3 linked regions of the Oryctolagus cuniculus genome follow. Each later gene encodes a partner of the first gene's protein in a complex. Links are inferred from orthologs where the notes say so. Each region holds a gene or a part of one and is shown on either strand. Other genes may lie near its edges.

The links. The genes of interacting proteins can lie anywhere in the genome.
Region 2: the proteins of RAB11A (region 1) and RAB3IP are in contact, whole or in part, in a crystal structure (PDB 4UJ5), measured with the Homo sapiens proteins. The link is inferred for Oryctolagus cuniculus from reciprocal best matches to the Homo sapiens genes RAB11A and RAB3IP. Residues at the interface, in NP_004654.1 of Homo sapiens: Phe36, Leu38, Glu39, Asp127, Leu128, Arg129, His130, Leu131, Arg132, Ala133, Pro135, Thr136, Leu156; in NP_783322.1 of Homo sapiens: Asn367, Thr368, Leu369, Ser370, Ile371, Glu372, Pro373, Asp412, Arg424, Thr428, Cys431, Asn432, Thr435, Tyr439, Leu444, Val445, Lys446, Gln447, Gln448.
Region 3: the proteins of RAB11A (region 1) and SH3BP5 are in contact, whole or in part, in a crystal structure (PDB 6IXV), measured with the Homo sapiens proteins. The link is inferred for Oryctolagus cuniculus from reciprocal best matches to the Homo sapiens genes RAB11A and SH3BP5. Residues at the interface, in NP_004654.1 of Homo sapiens: Tyr8, Asp9, Tyr10, Leu11, Lys13, Glu35, Phe36, Asn37, Leu38, Glu39, Ser40, Ser42, Thr43, Ile44, Phe48, Lys58, Gln63, Trp65, Tyr73, Ile76, Ala79, Arg82, Gly83; in NP_004835.2 of Homo sapiens: Asp42, Ile45, Gln46, Leu49, Glu50, Asn53, Thr56, Ile59, Asn60, Glu63, Thr64, Glu67, Lys240, Tyr243, Leu247, Leu250, Glu251, Ile253, Ser254, Asp255, Ile257, His258, Arg261.

The regions. Positions count from the first base shown.
Region 1 is NC_091443.1:88,885,530-88,890,735, reverse strand, and holds the start of RAB11A (ras-related protein Rab-11A), read right to left. Parts: upstream 3,536-5,206; coding exon 3,496-3,535; intron 1-3,495. UniProt on the Homo sapiens protein: The small GTPases Rab are key regulators of intracellular membrane trafficking, from the formation of transport vesicles to their fusion with membranes.
Region 2 is NC_091442.1:72,360,342-72,365,005, reverse strand, and holds part of RAB3IP (rab-3A-interacting protein), read right to left. Parts: coding exon 4,611-4,664; intron 4,072-4,610; coding exon 3,868-4,071; intron 1,770-3,867; coding exon 1,641-1,769; intron 393-1,640; coding exon 280-392; intron 1-279. UniProt on the Homo sapiens protein: Guanine nucleotide exchange factor (GEF) which may activate RAB8A and RAB8B. Promotes the exchange of GDP to GTP, converting inactive GDP-bound Rab proteins into their active GTP-bound form.
Region 3 is NC_091435.1:150,921,595-150,925,663, forward strand, and holds the end of SH3BP5 (SH3 domain-binding protein 5), read right to left. Parts: intron 4,044-4,069; coding exon 3,824-4,043; intron 2,761-3,823; coding exon 2,500-2,760; intron 2,206-2,499; coding exon 1,985-2,205; 3' UTR 844-1,984; downstream 1-843. UniProt on the Homo sapiens protein: Functions as a guanine nucleotide exchange factor (GEF) with specificity for RAB11A and RAB25. Inhibits the auto- and transphosphorylation activity of BTK. Plays a negative regulatory role in BTK-related cytoplasmic signaling in B-cells.

The DNA of each region.
Region 1 (5,206 bases):
TATTTAAATGTGAGTGATATGTGATCACACACTATAGTCCATGAACTTGCAGTGACTTTCCTATGCTTTCCATTATTTGTATCTTGAGTTAAAAGTACTTCCATTTAAGCATGTTATAACTTAACTCTACCACCTATATAAGGAGTACTTCAAAAACTTCAAGAAAAATGGAACGAAAAGTTAATTTTGGGGCAAAAATTTTTGAAATCTACACATAGCCTTTGCATAATATGCAATTTCCATCAACTTTTTGAAGATTTTTCATAAACATGTATATATATCTATATATCAAATACATTGCTAAATACCATAAAAGCAGAATACATGTACTAATTATCCATTATTTAACAAAAATTTCCACCTCTTTACCCCCCTGTAGTTTTATACCTGATCCTGCAAACTAATTTACTGGACTAGAACTCGTATTTATTCCATCAAACGCAGTACATCAGCTCTAAAAATTATCATCTGAAGGAGAAACCACTTATTTTCATCCTGGTTTTCATCAACCTGGATGTCACAGTCCAACCTCACCAAGTCTTTCTAAAATCAAAAGCATTCAGAAGGCTGAAGTCTAAGACAAGTTTTTCCTGATTCAGCAGAATTCAAGTTGCTCAACCAAAAGTTGTGAAAGAAAAACTACTAAGAGGCAGGACAACTACCTTCACTGGGATTGTTTCCACTGACAATCAGCTGACGCCTAATTACTACTGACCTCCACCGAGAGGAAAGAAAGGGCGGTGAGCAAGACTGCACACCCAGATGCTTTCAGAACAAGTGACTTAGACTGGACCGGTGTCTGATACCGTGTTTGTCAACAGGAACTACAGCCGCTGCCTACTTCATTTATGTGTCCCTCGGGATCTTACCCATGTTGTGCGTAAATACTTAAAGAACTGCAGTTTTTAAAATAAAAAGTCAAGCTTCAAAAAATAAAACCAATCCCCCCAACCAAAAGCTTCACTGCTGAGCTTGAGTGAAGATTAATGTGCAAGAACAAATACGTAATTTAGAATAACTGTCCTACGCTCCCCACATTAGATTCCCATTTAGACCACGCCGTCCCACGCTGATCCAAACAACCCTTCATTTCCAACTGGTTAGAGTTACAAATTAACTCCACTTCCTTCAGCTATTAAGTCTGCTAGGTAAGACTTCTTTGAAGTAGAGACAGCAATGGTTCATCTCAGTGACCAAATCTCTGTAGAAGGAAACCATTTTAAAGTAAAATTATTCTTGCCTAGCTTTAAAATGAGAATTGTATAAATAAAGAGACTGGCTAAATAATCAAGCATTGAAGTTAAGAAAAAAAAAAGGTGACTCATATCCTGTAAGAGCTTCGAAGGCATGGAAATCCTCCTCAGCAGAATTTTTAAACACCATATTTTAAACAGCACAACAAGATGAAGCCCTAACCCATGAACATAAAATAGTTGAAGTTCCTACTTCTATGCTTCTTTAATAATATGTAAATGCTCTTCCGTTTAGAAATAAAGTTCAAAAAACGGACAAGATCCACAGTAACTTCCTTCAATGCACTGAGCCCTCACAGGAGCTAAAGTCGTAACTGCCCGGCAGGCTTGATCAGCCAGTCCCGGAGTTTGCTTCAGAGCTGGGGCTCCAAACACTTAACTTTCCCAAGGTCGTAAACCCAAGAGCAGAGTGGAATGTGAACTCAGGTGTCTGTGGTTCCAAAACCCTGTGCTCTCAATGTTACAAGGATGGTCTAATTCCTGAAACCAGGATGGCTAATATTCTGGGGTTGTTTTTTTCCCCAACATTCCAGTTCCAAACCAATCAGGAGAAAAACCCTGAGAGTCTACCTTGCTCTAAAGTACTTCAAAGGTAGCTAACTGCCCATGACATTGTAAAGGATTTGAAAAACAAACAAAAACCTGCCTTTAATGACTAAACCCAAAAGGCTCCAGGGACTGAAGTAACTTCCCATCAATTCCGACGCCTTCTGCAAAAAGTACACAAACTAATGCAGGTCTCCTTTTCGTCTCTGTAAAGTGAACCGAGTGCCTTTTTCACTGTAATGACTTTCCAACACGGAGGTCGTAGACATCGAAGGTACCCAGCCTATACTCACCCTATACATAGAATATTCCACCTCGGAGGACTAAGGTAAGAGCATATTATCACCGAGATTTGCAAAAGTATTGGTAAAGCAAAGCAATGGTTCCTGCTTCCTTCGGTCAATCATTCTAAGCAACCAATGGCAAAGTCAGAAACAGTCACCGTGCTCACCACTCTTTCAACTCCGCCTCCACGGTAAAGCTTTAATAGCAATGGCTTCTTCCTCCCCGTAATGATCTTTGTTCAGCTCACTACTGATGGCTGCCCTCACTCAGGAGGGAGGACTACCAGAGCCGAGCGCAGCCACTGAACAAAAAGCATTTACTGGACTCGTCTCTTACGGAGAACTGAGCCCTTCACCTTCGCTGATTAAAAAACAAAAACTCTGGATTCTCCCCGACTCCTCTCGCCTCTCCCCACGCTCCAATTACGTACTGTCCAAGGGCACACACGTTCCCCTCTCTGATCACCACGGTTTAAATGGACCCGAAGAGCACACAAGTCCCCTCTCCCTCCTTTTGGGAAAGGTAGGCGGCCCACTAGGGCTCTTCCCTTCCTGTTGGATCCTCCCAGGGTTGCAGCAGGAAGCAACCAGTCCACAGTGATAAAGCAGGCTAGTATTTGTGCAGCGCGCAACCTTTCCTGCTCAGGAACTGGGCCTTCAGGTCTGGCCGGGATAACAGCCACCACCCATCCGCAACCCCTTCCCGCGAGCCGCGTACCGAGTGATCCCGGGTTGGCTGCAGCTGGGTCGGAAGAGGAGTTAAAAAAAAAAAAAAAAAAGGCTAGGTGGGAAGTCCCCGCCGGTCGGGCCACTGCGACAAGTGCACGCAGGGGTGATGGACAAGCCCCCCGGCCCTCGGCACAGAGTTCCCAACTCGGGGGTGGGCGGCGGCCGGCCCGTGAAGGCTGCGCGGCGGGTGGGGTGGGGTGGGGGCCCGAGCCGGGGAGCGGGGGGCGGCCGCCCGAGGGGAGGGGCGACGAGAAAGGCTCGCGCGGGGGAAGGGGACACGCAGGGAAAAGCCCCGCGGTGGGAGCCTGAGCCGAAGGGCAGGCCCAGGGAGCGGCCCGGGGCCTGTCACCAAGGCCGGGAGGGGATGGAGCCGGCCCGGGCTGATGCTGCGAGGGAGAGGTCGCGGGCGGGAGGGGCGCGGGGCCGCGGTGGGGGAGGACACGCGCGCACACACGCGCGCACACACGCACACAGCGAGGGGCGCCGAGGCCTGGCGGGAGGCGGCCGTGGGGACGCCGGTGCGAGCGGCCGTGGGAAGCTCCGTGCGGGGACGGCCGGACGACCCGCAAGGAAAGGAAGGGCTGAGGCAGGCCCATTTTGGGGCTGGGGCAGCCCGCACGCGGGTCCCCCGGGAGTGTCCCGAGCCCCCCGAGGGCGGACAGGGCCGGGGGCCACGGCCTCACCTTTGAAGAGGTAGTCGTACTCGTCGTCGCGGGTGCCCATGGCGCGGCCGAGAGGCGAAGGGGCGGGAGCAGCGGCGGCTTCGGTGGGACCAGGGGGCGTCGCTGCAGGGGTAACCCGAGCGCGGAGCCTCAGCTGCCGGACCGGCTGGAGAGCCCCGCCCTGCCGCTGCGCCACTTCCGGCAGGCCCCAGCCCCTGAGGGAAGTACTTCCGGGGAGGTGGCGTCCCGCCCCCAGCCGGGGACGGGCGGTGCGTCGGCGCCCGCTGTAGCGTCAGTCCTCAAGTCTCACCCTCCGAAAGAGTTTCAGAGGACGAAACCCTGAGTCCCGGCTTCCCAGCTGGTGCCAGTCGTAGTGGCCTCTTGTTCATTTCTGGCACCGCCCAGCCGGGCAGCGGGGCGCGGGAGCGCGTGGAACCCGCTTCTGATGGTTGGGTGTGCGATGGGGGCGGGGTTCTCTAAGGATTAGAGGGCCGGAGCCGGCAGCACACGCGTGGCGGTTCCATGGTGTAATGGTTAGCACTCTGGACTCTGAATCCAGCGATCCGAGTTCAAATCTCGGTGGAACCTGCTCAGCTTGCTTTTTCTTTTTCCTCCCCGAAGTCACATTTTTATTTACTTCACTTATTTGCATTTCAACAAATGTGACATACTGGGTCTTGCCTTTGGTAGGGTGAGAATTAGAAAAAGTAAAATATAATATTCGCCTACGAAGACCTCTGCCCCCTGGGGTGCTCGTCCTTGGCCTCTTCGCCCTCTATAGCGTGGACCCTCTGCCTCCAGCTTTGATTCAGAAGCTTCAGTGAAACTGAATTCCTCTTGCTGGAATTGCCCGTCCTCAGCCTCAGTCAGTACAGGATCCCCTCACCCGCTCCTCCCTGGAAATGTGTCGGATGCTCTCCATACATTGCCACCGTCCTCATCAACAGTCATCAGGAAAGAGTCCCATCTGGTGGCCGCCTACGTCCTCACCGGACAGGCAGAGCACGGGCTGCCCCTTGTCCTTTGACCCGAGTGATCCGCAGAGCTTCCTGGTATTTGGAGAATTCTGTGAATGCCAAAGAAAAGCCTCACAGACAAAGCCTCCCCCGCCCCTTAGTATCACAGTCCCACCGCCTGTGTGCAAACTCAGTTTACACTCTGGTCCAAAAGTGTCTGTGAACTATGACCCCACCCCCTATTGCCACCCCCACTCCCTGCTCCCCCACAGAATGCCCACCGCTGACACCTTGAGTTTCGCCCAGTGAGACCAGCATTCAAAAGTTTGTGATCATTGGTTAGGGCAGGAATAAAAATAAAATCGGGGGCCAGTCTTGTGGCGGGGCTAAGCCGCTGCCTGGGGCACCAGCATCCCATGTCTGAGTGCCAGTTGTAGTCCTGACTGCTCTGCCTCCGATCCAGCTCCCTGCTGTGAACGTAGGAAATCAGCAGGAGACAGCCCAAGAGCATGGGCTCCTGCCACCCTCATGAGCGACCCCAATAGCATGATGGAAGGTCTGTGTGTGTGTCTTCCTGTCATTTTGACTTTCAAATAAATAAAATATTTTTTTGGCGGCAGCTTTACCTGCTGCACCACAGCGCTGGCCCCATAAAATCTTTTTTTTTAGAAAAAACTAATACAGTGCTCTTTTCCATGCTTTCTCTGCCCAAATAAAGCGATAGGTGGTTTATCTAAGGTCCCGGATGCTACCTTGCACAGGTGGTGAGCGTACAA
Region 2 (4,664 bases), on another chromosome or scaffold:
TCTTCTAGAACCAGATATATACCATTCACCTACTATATTGTCTAATTTTGAAAGAGCTCTACTAAAGTGGTTATAAGTATCAATTTCTAAAATAATAAAAACAATGCTTCTTAAGTGACCTCATTTTTAAAGTCACTTGTAAACTGGGCATACCCAGTATATTTTTATTTGAGCCAGGATTCAATGCTACGTCTTCTGGCCTCCCAACTCCAAGCAACTCCAACACATAAGACTTCAAAAACTCAGTAGCTCCCGTGAGTCACAGGTGTAAAAACCTACTTTGGTCCTCCACATTCAACTGCAGAAGCTTTCACAAATCGAATCGGCTGCAGCCCCACTGGTTCAATGCTCAGGGTATTGTTTTCCACGGCCTCCAGAACAGCTGAAGCCAGCTTCAACAAAGTGAAAAGTATTAGACTTTATGCTTGCAGGAAAATACCAACGTTGTACTCCACAGTCATCTAATCTTATACATGATTCTTCCCCCAAGTTCCACTAGCTTGGCCTTAGCCAACAAGTAAGAAAGACATCGCATAATCTTAATTTGATTTCTCTTATAATTCAAGCACTGTTATGAAAGGCAATTCAGTTATGGTGAAATAACTTTTCTCATGACCTGGAGGAGGATTAAAGTTATTAATCCCAGTCTCTGTGTCCTCCCTACCTACAACTAAATACCCACTGTTAATGCCACTTCAAAATGAATATTCTAATGCCTTATGCCACTGAACACATGCAATTTTTTTGTGTGTTGGTCATTTATCACATAGCAGTATATGCTGGTTATGGCTATTACTTTCTGAACTTGCACATATGTGCACGAAGTAATTCACTGAATTATCAGATATTAGATCCCAGATGGAAAGGGCACAACCAATAAACAACAAATGAAAAAGGCACACTTCTCAAGCCTGCCAAGATTACGAACACTGAACGGCCCACCTGAATCCAGGCACACGGCCACAAACAACAACACAGATTCCTATCCAAAGTGTTACACAGTTAATCTGAACTTCTTCCTACAAATTAATGTTATAATTAAATCCTTGAAAGACGTAACTAAGACTCTCAGGATTAAATTTCTTCAATACTGACAGGATATTTGTGGATAAACCTTCCACATGCAAGAACAAATTTAATCTTTACATCTGTATAAAATTTTAAAAAATTTTCTATCAACCTAGTACATACTTCATTTTATCCTGTTAACACCCTTGGGACTTAAGCAAAGAGGGCATTATTTTTCATGCTTTAAAGAAGAAGAAAAGAAAAGAAGTGTGATTTCATCATGTACAGATAAACTCAACAAATGCCTTAAGCAGAATGTACAGAGAACTTCCTTATGCTGAATCTTGGACTACGAATCAAAAAATATAAGCCCTACTCCCATAGACATTTCATCCTTCTCTTGAACACAATGCAAGTCTCAGTATGAATGATGCTCTGCTCAAATAAGGAAAGATATTCAGTAATCAAATGCCAAGACATTAGGATCTAATACAGGACGGAGAAAATGCTTGAGCATGACACTTCATGATAATCTACTTATATCAGATATATTAAAATATGGAACAGGACTTCATAAAACGTACAGAATCAAATCTAATGTGTTCCCATTAACATGGAAAAAAAAAAGTTACCTCACTTTTCGAAAATGTCAAACACGGAAAGATATCTTCCTGATAGATTTTGTCTAAGAAAGGACATGTTCTGTCCATTGTTGGCTCATCCTTCCAAGACCTGAATTCATTATACAGAGACAGATCAGCCTAAACAAGCCAAAAGGAAACACATAAAAAAGTTTTAAAAAGTGCAAACAAAAAACCATTTTGTAAAACCAAAACATAATACAAATATTACTAAAAAAGAAATGCTCCTTATTTAACATAATGAACTGGACCATTCTTAATTATCTATAATACACAGTACCAACTTTTCTATAAGAAAACTGACTTTTAAGAAAACTGTCTGATGGGCCTAGTAGTATCCACATAGTATCCATGACGGTGTCCACTGATGCTGCCATTACCCTGTTGGAGCTCCTTTGAAGACACAGGTACGTACTGTTCTGAATATAAAAAAGGATGATAAGTATTTTCTGAAATTAATGAACAAGTACTTTGGAGTCAAGCTAAATAAAGTAAGAGTGAGACCTGATTTGAGGTCATAAGCTGACACTAATTGTTCTATTAACCTGGAGGCACTTAGTTTAAAAATGCCAAGATGCTTGCTGTGTAGGCAACTAGACAAAAAAGCACACACACAACCTACTAAACTATCTTAAAACTCAGCATTTATTTAAATAGTTCGGTACATCAAGTTAACTACCACCTGAACTATCCACAGAGGCGCCTGCCGGCACTGCCTTCCTAGCCACACCTGTGGCTGGCCATCCCCGGCTGCCCCTCTACAGTACATCTTCCCCAAGTCCTCTTCCCTACAGACCCTCAGGCTCCCTCAGCCCAGATCAGCACCTGCACCAGACACGCCAACCACCCCAGCACAGAGCAGTCTCACTGGTCCTCACACAGCGCCACACCAACCAGGTCCACAGTGCTGGGTGTGCTATAAACGCCCCACTGACAACAGCCGTGGCGGCCTCTCGGACGCTTAACCAGATGTGCAAGCAGTCTACACAAAGGCAAAAGAAGGCTGAGCATATCCAAGCTTTCCTATAGATTTCCTTTTAAGATATCAATGTGAGCTTTTTTCCTCCCAATTCAAATTCCTTGAATCAAAGTTAAGGGTAAGGAATTCCAAGATGGCGGAGTAGGGAGGGTGCTTATTGCTGTAGTCTAGAAGATAGTTTTAAAAAAGTGGAGAGGGGCTGGCAATGTGGTGTAGCGGGTAAAGCCACCGCCTGCAGTACCAGCACCCCTTATGGGCGCTGGTTTGAGTCCCAGCTGCTCCACTTCCAATCCAGCTTTCTGCTGCGGCCTGGGAAAGCTGTGGAAGATGGCCCAAGTCCTTGGGGCCCTGCACACGCATGGGAGACCTGGAAGATGCTCCTGGCTCCTGACTTTTGGATTGGCACAGCTCCGGCCACTGTAGCCAATTGGGGAGTGAACCAGCAAATGGAAGACCTTTCTCTCTCTCTCTCTCTCTCTGCCTCTTCTCTTTTCTCTGTTATTCTCATTTTCAAATAAGTCTTTAAAAAAAAAAAAAAAAAAAAAAGGCCGGCGCCGCGGCTCACTAGGCTAATCCTCCGCCTAGCGGCGCCGGCACCCCGGGTTCTAGTCCCGGTCGGGGCGCCAGATTGTCCCGGCTGCCCCTCTTCCAGGCCAGCTCTCTGCTGTGGCCAGGGAGTGCAGTGGAGGATGGCCCAGGTGCTTGGGCCCTGCACCCCATGGGAGACCAGGATAAGTACCTGGCTCCTGGCTCCTGCCATCGGATCAGCGCGGTGCGCCGGCTGCAGCGGCCATTGGAGGGTGAACCAACGGCAAAGGAAGACCTTTCTCTCTGTCTCTCTCTCTCACTGTCCACTCTGCCTGTCAAAAAAAAAAAAAAAAAAAGTGGAGAGAGTGCAGTCTCAGGGAAGAGTTACGGAGAAACTCCAGCAGCAAATCTGGATGAGGCAGATCGCTGACACCACCCACTCTCCTTCATACAAGCCATGACAGTGTGCTCCCTAGATGAAATAGTGAGATGAAGAAGCCTACCAAGTTTCCAGCAGGTTTTCCACAGTCAATCAGGTGGAGAATGGAACTGACGAACCCCTGAAAGCAGCCAGCTCTAGATAAAGCCTCCCCCCTCTTACTAGCACATATTTTGTACTCAAACCTTTGCCAGTAAAAACCACAACCGACACTCAGTGCTGAGAACTGAAAGCATGAGGAAAGCCAGAGGGGACAGTCCTTGACGAGTTACCTCTTTGCAGTCTTTTACAATTGGCTGTATCACACTGAGGTCCTGATGACTGCCACTCATGGCACTGCTTGTACTTTTATTCCTCTGATGCCCCTTTTTAAACGGTGTCTTTCCACCTGGCAGAGGCTCCTGTGTAGGCGAGGTTGGAGAACTGGACAACACAAGCGTCTTCAGTGCAGCTACTTCAGCTTGAAGTACATCAATCTTGAAAAGAAACCAGCATCCTCGTCAGCACTACGTGTTTTGTGACAGATGCCCCTACATGTTAGCAATTTGGTCCAAACACTTTCAAAGATGGAATTTAATTTGTACTTCCTGTGGACTAAGAAGATAAAACCAAGTTTTCTGATATTTTCCTATGATTCAGATTCAGCTAGTACTCACAATGTCAAATAAAATTATCCTATCTTATGATTGGTTCTAGTTTACTCCTAAAACAGTAAAATCTAGTACCACGTAGGTTCTTTTTCTCAGTGAGAAAATAAATATTAACATTAAAATGTGGTCATATAATTCTTTTAATGACACATGTGATACAGTGTTTTAAACCATTTGGTTCTAATATAAATGAACACCGATATAAACTATTTATTTCCCCATGGTAGCTATTTTTTTATATTTTTCCGCAATTTCCAAATCTAAAACAACTTTCACAATCCGAACAAAATCCAATCGTTTTTTAGATACTAATAATCATCACTAATTTCCGTAACTTCTATACTGTAACAGCAGTGAGAACTTACTTTTCCTTGAGCTTCTTTCAGCTGTTTCTCTGCTGTTGCTTGCTTGACATTCGC
Region 3 (4,069 bases), on another chromosome or scaffold:
CAGCTGTTGCAGCCAATTGGGGAGTAAACCAGCGAATGGAAGATAGCTCGCTCGCTCTCCCCCTCTCCCCGCTCTGTGTGACTCTTTCAAATAAATAAAATCTTTAAAAAATACTATAAAAAGTTAGTGAAATGTATTTTTGTGGTTTCTGTGTATTTACAAGAGAAATCTGCCACCCACACACAGGTGGAGGAGCTGCAAACCCTCCTAGTGTGGCTGCTCTTCTGGAAGGGAGAAAGTGAAACAATGTTTCAACTGCGGGGAGCAGTTTTTCTGACAGTAATTCAGGAAGGGGTCTGGGAATTCACAGTGCAAGGGGGTTTCATGAGAACTGAGTAGCTGTTTTATTTGTAAATCTAGTGGAAGGGCCTTCTGGGAGCTTTTCTGTAGGACAGGAAATATTAACTAGGAAAAAAGTATTTCTCGTTCACAGTGCAAAGGGTTATGAGCTTTCCTGAAACCACGCACTCTGTCCCCCACAGCAGACTTCAGCGTGTAGCACACTGACACGGGGACATCTCCATGAGACACAGGGCCCAAGATGACCATCGGACTCCCAGACCTGAGTTTTCCTCCAGGTCCGAAGCCCACGTGCGCCCCAACTCCCAGGTAGCAGCCTCTTGGGGTGAGGAGGCAGCGCACAGCTCCGGCGCTTGCCAGCTTCCCTTCATCCCCGCCCGCTGCCTGCTCGCCGCTCACCGCAGCAGCGGAAGGGGAACCGGGTCCCTGCTGTCAGGATTCCCGACCAGGAGTGACAAATGAGAACAGGTGGCCACCACCTTCATGCCCCACCCTGCGCCAAGAACACTGGGATTTTCTTAACTGAAGTCGCCAAACACAAGGTTTCTTAAGCCGTTTTTATTACACTCAAGGTATAAGACAAGTACAAAATAATCTTGTAAGTAGGATATTGTATCAGTGAATAAAAAAGGAGAAATCACGCAGTATGAAGAGCTTTGCAAACGCCTAAGATGCAGACGCTGCGACGTAACACACAGCCTGAAAGGGAGAGGCTGCTTTTCCCCTCGTTCAGAAATGCTGGATTTCCCGAAACAAAACAGGGCCAAAATAAAATAAAATAAAATAGGGTGCTCTAAGTATGCGTAACCAAGAGAGGAAGAAAGATAAAGCGGTCTTAACACTACTATTAGCATACCAGACGCCACTGCTCCTGTTTGACAGCCTTTGCCAACACATGCCTACTCCCTTCCCTTTCAGGAACAGCTTCCTCTAAGGAACTCTAGTGCTGCAAACCCCTTAAATAATTTCCTTACGTTACAACCTACAGAGAAAGGAACACTGGTCAGTCTTGGAGAACAGTGGAAGCCATTCCTCACATGCACTTCTCGTCGAAGATCGGCTGGCTGGCAGGGTGAGGTCTCTGCTGTGGAACCTTCCCTCCTATTCTATGAAACGCCCCTTCCGTCCGCAGCCCCCCGCCCCCGCCCTGGCACTCATCCATCCCACCCCCAAAAGTGCAATTCCCGGTGACTTTTTTCTGCGGCCTCTGAACGCCATAGGAAGTGGATGACAGCAAACTCCGTTCTCGGTTTCTTGAAGCCTTCACTGGGTCAAAACGGTGCTCGGAACACCCTGAAAAGGGTGTCTGCTGGGGGAGGCAGTGGGGATGGGGAGGGGGCCTGGGGAATGAGGGAGGGAACACCTCCTTCCTCCCAGCCAGCCTGAGGGGCAGGTGCACGCCGGGCCTGGCTCCGCAGCTCTCCCAGGAACGCGGTACTGCTTCCACAGCGCCGGCACACAGGCCGCTGCGAGCCGGGCCCAGTCCACCCGCCACAGCAGCTCTGCTCCGAAACACCAGCCAGCTCAGGGGTCTTACCAGAACAATCTGCAGCCCCCAAGGTCGCTGAGACCTCATTAGTTCAGTTCAAAGTAAATGCTTAAGATTTGGCATAGAGTGAACAACTATTGGCACGGTGCTCTCCAGTTTCCTGTATAAATAGTATTCACAGGGCCACGGGCCGGGTCAGCCGATCTGCACCACGTTTATGTCGGCAATGAGCCCCTCTCTTCCCTTGGAGCACTGGAGGGAGAGCTGCTGCACCCGGCTCTCCAGGGCCTGGCCCTCCAGGGACACGCTGCTCGGGCCCTTCCGGCAGCCGCCGCCGCCGCCGCCGCCGCTGCTGAGACCCCGGCTGTGGCTGGCTTTGTCACTTGTCTTATTTTCTGCCCCTTCCGCCCTGTCTCCTGGGGAGATAGAGAGAGCTCAAGTGAGTAGATGGGCAGGGGCCAGGAGGCCCACTCAACCCGCGGGGCTCCAGGGGCTGCCCACTGCACAGAAAGGGCGGCTCCCACACTCGAGCCCTGGAGAGCACAGGGCCTGGGCTCTGGCAGGAGCCCCCTGGGGAGCACGGCAAAGGCGCACCCGGGGCCCAGGCGCCTGGCACTGGGGGGACCCTGAGACCCAGCCGAGGGGTGGAAGGGTACAGAGTGGCCTGCCACAGCGCGAGGCTCCATGGACAGGGCAAGGCTGCAACTCACCTCGTTCCACCTCGCACTCGGGGGAGGAGGCCCCGCTGCACTCACTGCGGGGGCCCAGCACTGGGAACATCAGCCCGAACTCCGACAGGGACACGGGGCTGGGCAGGTCCAGGCTGCCGGGCCTCGCCACCGCAGGGAACGGCTCGGCTGTCTCCGACGGGCTCGTGGGTCCGGAGCTGAAGCTGGACACCGACTGCGTTTCTGAGTCATCTTCAGACACGAAGTTGCTGCAGGTGTCGTCTTCAAAGGCCTCCGAGGCCACTGGGGCGAGGGGACAGTCAGTCACACGGGTGCTGACGGTCACCTGCCCCTTCGACTTCCCCTCCCAGGGTGCCCTGCTTCAGACACAGCGCAGGGAACACACTGCGGCCCTGCCAAGCCTCTCCGCAGCCGGAGCCCTGACATGAGGTCCTCGCGATACCCGTAACCCTGCCCTCCACCTGGAAGAGCAATCAGCGGCAGAGCGGCCCTCTTGTCCACCTGTGTCCCTGAGACACACAGCTGCACAGGAAGGGGTCTGGCCCCGCCCACGCCAGGCTGGCCAGCTCCCCTCTGGCCCTACAGGAAAAGCAAGAGCCACTGGAAGACTTGGCCCTGCGGAGCCTGCAGCTGGGGGTCTTTGTTAGCCCCCGCTAACTCCTGAGCTCCGCAAACATGCACTCAGTGCCTACCTGGGTCCCTGTTTGCTCCCTCCGCAGGGCTCTGGAGCTCCGCCTGCCCTGGGGACCAGGACCATCGAGGCCCAGAGGCAGGGCCCTGGCCTCGTCTCCAAGTCTCCTGGAGCCCGCACACAGCCCATGTGTTACTAGGTCTTTCCTCCTCCCTCGCCTTTAGAAACAGCCTGGCAGCTCCCACAGAGAATTACTCCAAATGACAAGGGCTTCAGGAACGTTGGGGACACAAAACAGGCTCAGACCTCAATCCAAACCCCAACTCCACACCTTGCTGAGTGGTAACCTAACTTCTCTGGGCTCCAGCTTTCTCTCCGTGGAGGATTAATGAGCGGTAATTCACACACAGTCGCTGCTTAGATGATGGTTCCCTTTTCCCTGAGAACTAAAGAAGTCCTGGGGAAGCGCCCATGGGCCTTGTAGCACAGAAAAGAGGGGTGCAGGCCAGTGCCGGAGGGGTCTCCTGATTCACCATGAGAAGCCAGGTCAGATCTGTTGGGTCCCTGCCTGCCACGCGGGAGACCAGTCTGGGATGACTTCCAGACTCACGGGACCCCAGCATCCTGGGAAGCCGTAGCCTGCTGAGCTCTGAGACCCTCCGTGCCGGCCACAGAGGATGGGGACCTGGGAGCGCACCGCACGGCCCGACTCACCAGAGACGGCGTCCGGCTCTGGTTTGCTCCCCGCCAGGCCCTCCGCAGCCACGCTGCTGCCCTCCGCGCCAACGCCACAGCCGCGGGGCCCCATGGTGCTGGAGCGCCGCCGCTCGTGGATCTCGTCGGAGATCATCTCCAGGTTCTTCAGGGCCGTCTTGTACTCGCCTTTTGCCAGGCTCAGCTTGGCCTGCAGCTCGTCCACCGCCGCCTTCAGCAGCTGCACAGGAAGGGAGAGGCTCGGTG